2 linked regions of the Arabidopsis thaliana genome follow. Changing the gene in region 1 together with any one later gene gives a genetic interaction. Each region holds a gene or a part of one and is shown in the gene's direction. Other genes may lie near its edges.

Region 1 (8,191 bases):
AAAAATCGTTTCCGAGGATGTCATTGTGCAAAGAGTCAATGCAGAAGTAGGCAGTGTCCCTGCTTTGCTGCTGGCAGAGAATGTGATCCAGATGTTTGCAGAAATTGCTGGGTTAGGTAGTCATTTTAAATCTAGATCTCTTGATGTGCCATATACAATCAAATCTACTATTTGATGAGTAACTTAAGATGCCTTGCTTATTCACTCAGTTGTGGAGATGGTTCTCTCGGTGAAGCACCAAGACGCGGAGAAGGGCAATGCGGAAACATGAGACTTCTCCTGAGGCAACAACAGAGGGTATAATACTGTCATCAAATCATGTATTTACTAAAAATAAAATGCATTCATTGTTGATAAATCTAGTTTCTCATGTGCTATATTTACCAGATCCTATTGGGAAAGTCTGATGTTGCTGGATGGGGTGCTTTTCTAAAGGTAAAGCATGTGAATATCTTCCTCATTAACTTCTGTTTCATACCTCTTGTATGTAATCTGAACCTCATCTGATCATCAGAACTCGGTCAGCAAAAATGAATACCTTGGAGAATACACCGGTGAATTGATCTCACACCATGAGGCGGATAAGCGTGGGAAAATATATGACCGGGCAAATTCGTCCTTCCTCTTTGACTTGAATGATCAGGTGACCAAATCTCTCACCCTTCTTTCTGATAGTTTCCTCTTGAATTTCGCATATGTCAGTAAGCTTTTGATATTTGCAGTACGTCCTCGATGCTCAACGCAAAGGTGACAAGCTGAAATTTGCCAATCACTCAGCTAAACCCAATTGCTACGCTAAGGTACTAAATGCTTCTCTCTCATATCCATTTTGGTATGAAAAAACCACATGATCGGTTAGTAATTATACCTTCTTTCTCACCTCTAGCCACTCAAAAGTTCCATTTAGAAGGAGGACTAGGATTATAACATTTTGTAGAAACTAATCGCAATTAGCACTATAGAAAACAGATGATCAAATCTAGCTTTGTAGGTTATGATCAAAACACACTTGTTTCTACAATCTTTATGATTGTAATGTGTAAAGTAACATGTGTATATCATCTGCTAGATTTATTCAACCCTTTTCGAAAGGTGTTAATTATTTACAAAAAAGAGCGATTTTCAGTCTATTGTCGTAGTAACCATGGTCTCATCGCTTCCCGCATAAGTACGGTGTCTTTTTCTGTGTGGTGTAGGTGATGTTTGTAGCAGGAGATCACAGGGTCGGGATTTTTGCAAACGAACGAATAGAAGCTAGCGAAGAGCTTTTCTATGACTATAGATATGGACCAGACCAAGCACCAGTGTGGGCTCGCAAACCTGAAGGCTCCAAGAAAGATGATTCAGCCATTACTCATCGTAGAGCCAGAAAGCACCAATCTCATTGATGATTACTGGCTAAGAGAAGTAACTTTTATAAAAATAACTTATAGAGTTGTGAGAGATGATATTTGAAGTTTGATAACTTAAGCTTGTCTTTATTAATTAATTATTATAGAGTTGAGATTTTATTTTATTTTGACATCGAGTTTGGACTTTGTATAGGTGATAAAACAATTTATGAATTATTGGGGTCAATAAGTAAAAATGTATCATTTCGAAAAATAGTTTCAAATTTATGGATTTTTGAACAGCTAAAGCCAATCTATGTACTTTTCAACGAATAAAACTGATTTAAAATAAGTGAACGAACCAATCACACTAAACCAGTGCCTAATCTCATAAAAAGTAATCCGACTGCTAAACCGTATTCCGGTTCGAATCGGATACGGATCCGTTTCCCAGTTGATTAGTCGGATCCAGTTTCTTCTTGCTTTTTCAATTCACATTACGAATCTCCGACGCCAAAATTCTGCTTCCGGTAACAGATATTTTCGTCGTCGAGAAGAAGCAGGAGTTTAGAAAAATGGCGACGGAGGCAGCTCCGATGGACGAAAAGGCGAAGAGAATGAGAGATCTATTGTCGAGCTTCTACGCACCGGATCCTTCAATCTCGACGAGTGGTTCCTCCATCAACGCCTCTTTCGATAACATCAACAGCACTTCCTTTGATGCTGATCAGTACATGGATCTCATGGTTAGTCTTCGTTTCTTGTCAGAATATTCGTGAATCGTCAACACAAGCGTCAATAGCTTGTATATTGTATCAAATTATTGAGTATTTCGATTCACTGAAGTTAGATTCGGCTCTTTGATCTTGGTCTAAGTGGTTAGTTCGAAATTTAGAATATGTTTAGATCCGACTGTTATCTTTTGGAGCAGGAATATAGTTGCTAGTTTTGAATTCTACCCTTCGGATGAAGTTTACAGTGCAAGGTTCTTGTAGAGGTCTCTTGATCAATGTGGTCTGGTTTGGTTATTTTCTATGCAAACTTATGAGAATTCTGCAAATTTAGTTGTTCTTATCAAAGATCTTCCTGCAATGGTTGATAGTTCGGAACTAAATTGGGTTTATGAGGTTTGTGTTAAGTGTGGTGACAGTAGTGCTAGCGATCTGATTGAGATATATGCCACAGTCTGGTGATTTTATTGGCTTGTGCAGATCAAAAAGTCGAATTTGGAGGTGCTTCTGCAAAGACATGTTCAAATGGCTGCTGAGATTAAAAATCTCGACACAGACTTGCAAATGCTAGTCTATGAAAATTACAACAAGTTTATCAGTGCAACAGATACAATCAAAAGGTACTTGTAATGGTTCATGGATCGTTTCAGGTGTTAAGTGTGTCATTTAACACTTTTCTCTATATGATTTGATTTCACCACTCGGTAGTATATTAAATTCAAAATGTTGCTTCTTTACCTGGTAGGATGAAGAGTAATATTTTCGGGATGGAAGGCAATATGGACCAGCTTCTTCAGAAGGTGTTTTGAACACATATGATACACGTAGTTTTGGATTTTTTTATGGGAACTTCTCACTCATAGTATATCTCCCAACTGACTCATGCAGATAATGTCAGTACAATCAAAGAGTGATGGGGTCAACACTTCTCTTTTCGAAAAGAGAGAACATATAGAGAAACTGCACCGGACTCGTAATCTTCTTCGTAAAGTTCAGGTATGTAATGAGTCATTTTTGCTAGCTTATATATCTGCTGTGTTGTCACCTGATCATTATAGCAATAATATGAATTTACTCAAATTAATTTTTGTGAGAAAGAGCAGTTCATCTATGATTTACCTGCAAGACTGCAAAAATGTATCAAGTCAGAAGCCTATGGCGATGCTGTCAGGTTCTATACTGGAGCAATGCCAATTCTCAAGGTTTACATCTGTCCTCGGATAACTTTTCCATTTTTTTGTAGTATTCTTTTCATGTTACTGGGGCATTTAACATTCTGAAGATATATATGTGGAGATATGTTTAAAAATATGAATTTCTCTTTCTGTTCAGGTATATGGCGATACATCATTCCAAGACTGCAGGCGAGCTTCCGAAGAAGCTATAGAAATTATCATAAAGAACTTGCAGGTATACCTTTTGGTCCTAGTAGTCTATACTTGTCTGGATTAATAAAAATCTACATACAATACTGGCTTATCAACCATATAAACAAATAACTGGTCTTTATGTTTTGTGTTTGTTATTTCTTGATGCAAGAAACCTATTTTGGCTTGTTTGACAGACGAAGCTATTTTCAGATTCAGAATCCATACAGGCGAGAGCTGAAGCTGCAGTGCTTCTTAAGCAGTTAGATGTCCCTGTCAGTTCTTTCTCTTAGCTCAATTATCTGTGACTTGTTTAAGTTGTTATAGAGCTACCTAGAACGTTCGTAATGTTCATCCTTGTACAACTGGTTTATCACTGGTTGTGACATAAATTTGGATTGCACATCCTGCAGGTTGATAGCTTAAAGGCTAAACTGTTGGAAAAACTGGAACAGTCTCTTGATGGTCTTCAAATAAAGCCTGAGGAGGCAAGTACACTTGTAGAGGACGATGATTCATCTAACGATACAGAAAGCAATGACCAACATCCTGCTAAAATTCATGAGGTAAACACGGACTATGTCGCTTCCTTATCCTTTGTGTTTTTGATGAATGCAAGTTGGAACACAGTCAAACTGACTGTATCTATTAAGCACTTTGAATATCCGCAGCTGCTTTACAGGAGATTTTCTCATTAGCCACCATATTGAGATCTCTTTTCTTTTATTTCATTTGGTTTATCAGACTTGACGAGCTTTTTATTTGCACTTTTGATATTTTAATGGTTGTCCCCTTTTTTCTGATAGGATGCCGTACGTGGATTTTCTGAGGCCATACGTGCTTATCGAGAAATATTCCCCGACTCAGAAGAAAGACTTTTCAAACTCGCGAGAGCCTTAACAGCAATGTAACGCACTTTTCTTTGATATATTGATCCATAAATCGAGACTTTGTTTGTGTCTGACCTGCAGAATTTCTAACACTTATGGTTGTTAGGCACTTTGAGTACATGGAGCTATATATAAAAAAACGGGTTTCTGCAGCAGATTTTCTAGGAATTTTTCGTGAGTACAGTGAATTTCCTCATGCCCTTGTCTCTTTTTTATGTTGCTTTCATTTCTTCTGAAAGCTTTGGTTAAATCAGTCTAATGAACATATATACCCTGTCTGATTTCTGTTGGACGTAGGAATTGTATGGGAAGATGTGGTACTTATGGACGAGGTGCTACCTGAGGCTGCACTCTCTGATTTATCTGCAGAGGTTGACCCTCATTTATGTTGTGTGGTTCTATTTTTCGTTATAATGTGTAGAACTATATATGATTACTAGCACTCCTCATTTCAGGCTGCCCAGGTTACTCTTAAGCAATTTGTTGCGAGAATGTTTTCTCATCTTCAACAGGATATATCAGGTTCGCTGTTTTCTAATTTCTACTGGATTCAGAATTTCTTAGTGAGGGAAAAGAGAGAATGAGTGTAGCTTCACTTTTCATAAGAACTTCTGTGAAATGGCCTTTAAGTAATTTGAAGAGTAGATTAATCTCTTCGTGAAGTTTTAGTCTTCAAATGAAATAGAATTATAATGAGGTATATATATACATGGCAGATACTCTCTTGAAATTCGATATCAACCAAAAGGAAGCAGTTGAAGGGGAACTCTTGAAGGTTGTCCTGGAAGCTAGCCAAAAAGCAGTGCTACAAGGCACCACAAATATATTTCAGGCACATTCCTTCTTCTGTTATTTATTATATTTTGGCTGTTATATCATCTGTATGAATTCCATGCTCAAAAACGCTTATATTCGTTCTATCACTTCAGGACTTCCGTCAGCTTCTTGATGAAAAAACTGGAATATTTATAAAGATGAAGGATTTAATCAGTGGTTGGATTCAGAAAGGATCTCAAGACTTCTTCAGGTCACTAGAAGCTCAATTTCTAGTGCTTTCTGGAAAAACTAGCTCATCAAACGATATAGAGGGAAAATCGAGTGACAAAATTCATGCTGGTCTCATTCTTGTATTGGCGCAGCTCTCTGTCTTCATCGAACAAAAGGTCATCCCGAGAGTTACTGAGGTGAGATTCTTACAAGTAGTTTTGCATAAAGTTTAAATCAATTGGTAGCTGGTTTTGAGAAATTTCATATGCTTATTCAGGAAATAGCTGCTTCCTTCTCTGGTGGAAATTCCCAAGCCTTTGAGAATGGACCTGCTTTTATTCCTGGAGAACTTTGCCGGGTCTTCCACGCAGCCAGCGAGAAACTTCTCCAGCATGTATGAATGAAACTCCAAAACTTGAGGTCGTTTACCAAAACTTAACATCAACTAACTAAATCATTTCATATTTCAGTACATAGACACAAGAACACAGAAGGTATCAGTTTTACTGAGAAAAAGGTTCAAGACACCTAACTGGGTTAAGGTATTGCTGTTGTGGTGTGGCTAATCTTCTTAGAGAAGCATTTTACCAGTCATTGTTTTTTAATTCCAAATATTATGCAGCACAAGGAGCCACGAGAGGTTCACATGTATGTCGATATGTTTCTTCACGAGGTTTGACAACTCTTCTCCTCTTAACCTGGAAATTATCTAAAGAGCATGCAATAAATCATATTTGTTTGGATTTTCTACTTCGCAGTTAGAAGAAGTTGGTAAAGAAGTGAAACAAGTTTTACCTCAAGGGACTTTCCGTAAGCACAAAAGAACAGACAGCAACGGAAGTAACACTACAACCTCATCACGAAGCAATACCCTCCATAATGATAAGATGGCACGGTCAAATTCACAAAGAGCTCGTAGTCAGCTTTTCGAGACACATCTTGCAAAACTGTTCAAGCAAAAAGTAGAAATATTCACCAAGGTTGAATTTACCCAGGTAAAAACGAAAGAGGTTCCCTTATAGTTATATCAAACGCGCACTGCCACACGCTCATCATCTCCTGATCTCTTTTCGTGCTAAATATTTGCAGGAATCCGTTGTTACAACAACAGTAAAACTTTGTCTGAAGAGTTTGCAAGAATATGTCCGTCTCCAAACGTTTAACCGGAGCGGGTTCCAGCAGATTCAGCTAGACATTCAGTTCTTAAAAGCTCCATTGAAGGAAGCAGTTGAGGACGAAGCTGCAATAGACTTCTTGCTCGACGAGGTGGTTACACCTAAAGCTCCTTCCTTTACTTTTCTTCTTATTACCATCAAGCAGAGGCTCTATGTCTATCTTTTGCAACTGACCATTGATTCTCCGACCATGATGTGTGTTTGTATTGACAGGTGATCGTTGCGGCTTCGGAGAGATGTCTTGATGTGATTCCATTGGAGCCACCGATCTTGGACAAACTCATACAAGCTAAACTCGCTAAATCAAAGGAGCACAACAACAACACAGTTTCTTCTTAAAAGTTTTCATAACTCAAACAAAGTATACATGATTTTTGCCAATTTATTTCCGCTTCTTGTTATCATCCGTAGTGTAAATCAAAACCATTGAATTGTACTCTCTAGCATTGAACCAGTAAAATCTACACCGTAACTTCTTCTTTACTTTTGTGAACAAATCTTTGAATTTTTTTTTTTAGCAACATGCAATTTGACTTAAAAGATATGTAAAACCCTAAAACTAAACTACATAAATTCCTAATTACACTAAAACCCTAAAATTGAGTGCCGAAAAAATAGAAAAAATATTCATAGTCACGGCCTCACGGGTCTCTCTATTATATAAGAACTCCTTGAGACTTAAAAAAAATCTCACATTCCCTCTCTCTAATCAAAAAGCTAAAAGCAATGGCCACTGCGATGTCTTACTCTTCTCAAAACCATCGATTCGAGCACCAAACCCTAATCCACCGTAACCCTAAGCCTCGTCTTTGCCGCAACTCTTCAACAGCTCCTCGCCGACGCAAGCAAAGCCCTACGGTTGTTAAATCTCCGGCGGCGAATCCAAATCTTGTAATGGAACAAGTCAAGATCCTCAAACGCGGTGAGACATTGAGCGCGTTTAATAAGAACAAGGAAAACATTAGCTCCGACGATACAAGACGACCTGTTTTGAAGATGATAAAAGATGTTGATCTGATTGTATCGGCTACTAATAGAATTGGACCTGAACCAGAGATTTTGATGAAACAGATCGGAGCTTTGGGATTGCAGAGCTTCGCCGGAGCTAATTGCTCTCTTTCGCCGCCTCCAAGCTGTGTTCCAATTCCATGTTTCTTAGGGACGAAGAACAATCTCCTTGTTTAGATCATCTGATTTGGGGAAAACAAAAACCCTAAAATCGAAACCGTCTTTTGATGGTCTCGTAAGAGCAGATGTGTGAAGAAATCCTGAGATAGAGAGTAAACAAATCTCTTTGTTTATCTCAAAGAAGAAGAAGAAGATGGAGAATGTGATCACAAAACGCCAATTGCAACCAAAATCTTTACTCTGTAATCGAGTGTTTTGGTGTAACAGTCACTGTGACTATTTTCAATCGCTTTTTTTTAGTTTTGTTTCGGATTTTGAAGTTTGTAGTTGTCACTTTCACATGGGATTCAAATCTCTCCTTATGCAATAAAAAACCTTATAGTAATACAAACATAAGTTTCTTGAATCAGTTTATATTCTCTTTAAACAGATACATTCTTGCTCTCATCTTCAAGATTTGTTGCATCAGGTAATACTTTTTTCCAGAACCAATGTTTACTCCATAAGAGTGTCATCTCTTCTATTGGAACTCCTTTGGTTTCAGGCAACAGGAAATACACAAAGATAGTCATTACTGTCACC
Region 2 (5,016 bases), on another chromosome or scaffold:
GCACACTAGAATGTATTCAAAACTTCATAAATTCAAGTAATTACAATTATATAATGTTATTGCTTCGGTTCATAGCTTGGTGATAATCTTTTACTTCAACTATCTGTAATTAAGACAGGAAAGGATCTTATTAATTAGATTTAGTTACTGTCATATGCAGATATGTCTAAAAAGACGTATAGATAGACCTACAATTTCTAGATAGTAATAAATACTACTATTAAACAGTAGTAGCAGGTGTAATAGTCTTAGCATGTCTCTGATAATGATTTTTAATGTATAATTATTACTTTGCATACTTTATAACATCTTCTTTTTTTTAACTAATAGTTACACACATGATAAGTCCGTAGATATGAATACTCGAAGGGGAGAGTTATTTTGATTTAAGTTTATACAATTTTTTCATACGGTTAAAATAGTCAATAAGTCTGTAGTTAATTTATTAGTAGAAATTGATCAACTCACTATCTTTTTAGTTTGATCTTAAGGTCTTTACATTTTTGGGTGTGTCTTTTATTCTTTAGTTTATTCTTTAGTACATTTTTGGGTGGGAAATTTTAAAAAACAAGTCATGTCAAATAGGGCTAAAATTGAAGTTCCACTAAAATAAATAATTTGTATGAGATAATAATCAAAATATTGGAAGTAACAGAAATAAATTAACAATTGTGAAATTTACGTTTAGTCATGTCATTTTGGTGGACCTGTAACAATCAACATAATTGATAATTAGTTATTTGATGAGCCATAATTAATTTATATAAAAAAGGAGAAAAAACAGACTTGAGATAGTAATTAAGAAAACTACAAAACCAGGCAGCATAAATATCTTCTCTGATTTGCAACCTGTAACTTCTTGATTAAATTATTTTTCAATCTTACATCATAAATCTCGTTGCTTGAAAATAATGAAATTTAATTTTCTTTTGCTGAGTCTTACAAATGAATATGAAGCAATGAAAAGTAACTAAAAATCCATCACAGGAGTAAAAAATTGGAAAATGGAAAAGATGAAACAAAAACGAAAAGAAAATCAAGGAAAAAAAAAAGAGAGGTGAAAGGTGTAGAAGGTGGTGGCGTGTAGTAACGAAGTCTCTGTCAAAGTTTTTGATAAATTAATCATGTACTGTGCTGACACTCCAAGATTTGAAACAGCCTTATCGATATAATATCCATTTTTCTATTAAAAATAAAAATTGAAACTCTTCACTTTCCAAATAACTAGTGTATATGTCTAATAATGTATCCCTCACTATACTACTATTGTTTCGATTAGTCATTGTACGTATAATAAATTATTATGTATCCCAATTTCCAAACACAATAATAAAAAGAAATTTCAAGTTCGTAGATAAAAAAAAAGATACAATCTGAATCCTCTCTTTTATTTTCATCACTGACAGAGAATACCACTGCACTTTTTCTCATGCACGCACGCATACTCAGATAGAAACAAGAGCCCATTCCTCGTTTCTTTAATAATTTAATTCAAAGAAATACGGACACTTCATGATTAATTTTAATTTTGTAATTTTAAAACAATCTCGAGTTATGTAAAAAATATATCGATAAACTCAAAAATGTGATGTAATAATCTGCTTTGGCTTTGCTCTCTTTACTACAAGACAAGGCAGAGAAAACCACAGATTCCTATGAAAGAGTAGACGTACCTGTCTTTTTATTATTACTAAATTTATAATTATCTTCTCTACGACTTTCTGGTTTTTAATCTTTTAATAATTATTTTACTTTCACTACCCCAAAAAAAAAGCTTCCCTCTATTTCGCCGTTTTAGATTTACCAAATCCCAATGTATAAAAAAAATAAACTAATAAAACCAAAAAATAATATCCATCCACATTATTACCACGCCCCTTACTCAAGAACCATCCATTATATTAACCTATTTATCTTCTTCTTCAAAACATTTGAGTCTCCTTAGGGTTTTTTCTCTCTCAAACAAAAGCTTTAGATCTTTCTTCTTAATGGACATTCCGTATTACCACTACGACCATGGCGGAGACAGCCAATATCTTCCACCGGGTTTCAGGTTTCATCCCACGGACGAAGAGCTCATCACTCATTACCTTCTCCGCAAAGTCCTCGACGGTTGCTTCTCAAGCCGTGCCATCGCAGAAGTTGATCTCAACAAGTGTGAGCCTTGGCAACTTCCCGGTAAGAAAATACAAAACTAACTTACTTGTAGTTCTTTTGTAATTAAGGTTTCTGAAATCTTTACTCTCAATGTTACTTAGGGAGAGCTAAGATGGGAGAGAAAGAATGGTACTTCTTTAGCCTCCGTGACCGGAAGTATCCGACGGGACTGAGAACTAACAGAGCAACTGAGGCTGGTTACTGGAAAGCTACCGGAAAAGACAGAGAGATCTTTAGTTCAAAGACTTGTGCACTTGTTGGGATGAAGAAGACTCTTGTCTTTTACAAAGGAAGAGCTCCGAAAGGAGAGAAGAGTAATTGGGTTATGCATGAATATCGTCTTGAAGGCAAATTCTCTTACCATTTCATCTCAAGAAGCTCCAAGGTACTTCGATTTAACCTTTCATTAGTTATTTTGTTGATAAAGTAAAGCCTTAATTTTCTTTGATTAATAAATTTACAATCTATTATTTGGAAAAAAAATTCGAGAGTGTGACATAGTCGGTGACGTTGATTTTTTTCTCTTTTGCTTTATTGCATTTAATTTTGATGGCTGAAAAGGCATGGTTCTTTACTGTGGTTATCTGAGAGCATTATGGAACATGAAATAGAAAAGATCTGCTGTTTTTATGTATTGGGATTTCAATCATAATGGTGTTTTCCTAAAGTAAGAAAACATTCAATAGCTCTGATAAAATAAAATATTAATACATCCTACTTTTGGAAAGCTTAATGCAAAAAACCAGAACCAATGCAAATCTTCAGGATTTTTTTCTGACCTAGATATATTAAAAAGAAATTTAATTAAATTAATTTTACTTAATTAGTGTTCCATATCCATTGTAGACTTGTAGTGTCCAATGTACATTCCCTCTGTGCACGCTTTTACTCTATGGTTTTTCTTAATCTTCACTCTCTTTTATTTCCAAGATCTAACATTGACTTTCTCATCAAACATATATTATATAAAATATTTGACTTTTCAAAACTCTAATTTATTCCTTCAGGATGAATGGGTGATCTCTAGGGTTTTCCAGAAAACCACTTTAGCTAGCACCGGAGCCGTCTCCGAAGGAGGAGGAGGAGGAGGAGCAACTGTGAGCGTAAGCAGCGGTACTGGTCCATCTAAAAAGACGAAAGTACCCTCAACAATCTCAAGAAACTATCAAGAACAACCAAGCTCTCCTTCCTCCGTCTCACTCCCACCTCTCCTGGATCCGACCACTACCCTCGGCTACACCGACAGCAGTTGCTCCTACGACAGCCGTAGCACCAACACAACCGTCACAGCCAGCGCAATAACCGAGCACGTGTCCTGTTTCTCCACTGTCCCTACTACTACTACGGCCTTGGGCTTAGACGTTAACTCATTCAGCCGTCTTCCACCGCCGCTAGGGTTTGACTTTGACCCTTTTCCTCGTTTCGTTTCTAGAAACGTCTCGACTCAATCTAACTTCAGATCGTTCCAAGAAAACTTCAATCAATTTCCTTACTTTGGATCGTCTTCTGCATCGACTATGACCTCCGCCGTTAATCTGCCTTCTTTCCAAGGCGGCGGAGGCGTCTCCGGGATGAATTACTGGCTACCGGCGACTGCCGAAGAGAATGAGTCAAAGGTCGGTGTGCTTCATGCTGGACTTGACTGTATTTGGAACTACTGATCACAAAAGAGGTGACTTATAATTGTTCCCGTTAGGGTTTTATTTATGTATTTCTAGGATGATTATGGTATTATGAAATGTGTGTACCGAGGAGCTTAATATTGCACTTAGCTTGATGTTCCGCTTAATTCTCTAGTTTTAAGTTTATCCGGTTGTGTTAATTAGGAGGTAATATGCAAGGAAAATGTTTTCTAGACTATGAACGTGCATATGTATAAGCTATGCTCGTTTTTGTAATGTTTGACATTATGTTAATTTCATGGCTTTTTCATGTTTTATATTTCTCATGATATTTGACATGTGTCCTTGGTTATCAATACAATCATACAGTATATTACCGACAAAATGAATTTCTTCGGTCGCTTCTAGATACCTTAGTTTTCTTCTTGTTAATACAATTTGATATGGCGGTTATATATATGTTTCCGGAATTCAACCGTTCCGAATCTTCGGTTAGATGATTTCCGTAATTACATAACATGGCTAATTATTTAATTTCTTCATCAATTGAAGATGCTCAAATGTAAAACATGCATGTAGTTTTTGTTTATTAATTCTAGCTAATTAAGGTTGACATGTGTAACTGCCAAAATATTTCAAGAAAGTTTCATGCTTTTAAAGTAAGTACTCATAATTCAGTGGATTAATCAGTCTATGAACACCATTTTCAGTTAGGTGTATCTTCTTGCTACAATCGTACACATATGAGACTAAACACAACAATTTGCGTTTGGCTTAATTGATTAAGATAACATGCATGTACATGGTAGTTACTGAAAATAATTTACATACTAATTTTGATTAACTTAATGCATTGTAAACCCACCAAAGAAAAGAAGTAGTTTTGAAATTAAGGATTTTGAAACGGGGATGATGAATATGATGCGCATGCTGACGAACGGACCACTCCCAAATTCAGATCTTGTACAACAGTCCACCTCACTTTCAGAAGGATGGCTTTCACATTTCTATTTTTAGAAAGAGACATAATTAATAATACCTCTGTTTATTACCATTATATATGTGTTTTCATTTCACGTGTGTATACTAGTAGGAGTATGATATATGTATGTGTGTAACACAACCATCATCATCATCATCATCATTACCATCATCAATTATTGCTCTTGTTGCATCACCAACCTATACTACCTAGTCATAAGACAAATTCACAGACTCACATATACGTCTTGCTAAA

Evidence for each region.
Region 2: of AT4G02030 (region 1) and CUC2, changing one suppresses a phenotype caused by changing the other (phenotypic suppression), as found in Arabidopsis thaliana (one study listed by BioGRID).

The regions. Positions count from the first base shown.
Region 1 is NC_003075.7:890,356-898,546, forward strand, and holds AT4G02030 (Vps51/Vps67 family (components of vesicular transport) protein), read left to right. Parts: upstream 1-1,820; 5' UTR 1,821-1,906; coding exon 1,907-2,077; intron 2,078-2,181; coding exon 2,182-2,209; intron 2,210-2,411; coding exon 2,412-2,458; intron 2,459-2,542; coding exon 2,543-2,682; intron 2,683-2,807; coding exon 2,808-2,862; intron 2,863-2,950; coding exon 2,951-3,058; intron 3,059-3,165; coding exon 3,166-3,264; intron 3,265-3,394; coding exon 3,395-3,472; intron 3,473-3,626; coding exon 3,627-3,704; intron 3,705-3,842; coding exon 3,843-3,995; intron 3,996-4,235; coding exon 4,236-4,336; intron 4,337-4,425; coding exon 4,426-4,493; intron 4,494-4,616; coding exon 4,617-4,690; intron 4,691-4,774; coding exon 4,775-4,841; intron 4,842-5,035; coding exon 5,036-5,151; intron 5,152-5,248; coding exon 5,249-5,503; intron 5,504-5,583; coding exon 5,584-5,700; intron 5,701-5,776; coding exon 5,777-5,848; intron 5,849-5,928; coding exon 5,929-5,979; intron 5,980-6,064; and 7 more. Other genes in the region: SWN (SET domain-containing protein), read left to right, coding at 1-116, 210-297, 388-435, 515-643, 723-800, 1,197-1,388; AT4G02040 (uncharacterized protein), read left to right, coding at 7,208-7,666; STP7 (sugar transporter protein 7), read right to left, coding at 8,032-8,191. UniProt on the Arabidopsis thaliana protein: Acts as a component of the GARP complex that is involved in retrograde transport from early and late endosomes to the trans-Golgi network (TGN).
Region 2 is NC_003076.8:21,900,768-21,905,783, reverse strand, and holds CUC2 (NAC (No Apical Meristem) domain transcriptional regulator superfamily protein), read left to right. Parts: upstream 1-1,929; 5' UTR 1,930-1,988; coding exon 1,989-2,178; intron 2,179-2,258; coding exon 2,259-2,542; intron 2,543-3,164; coding exon 3,165-3,818; 3' UTR 3,819-4,080; downstream 4,081-5,016.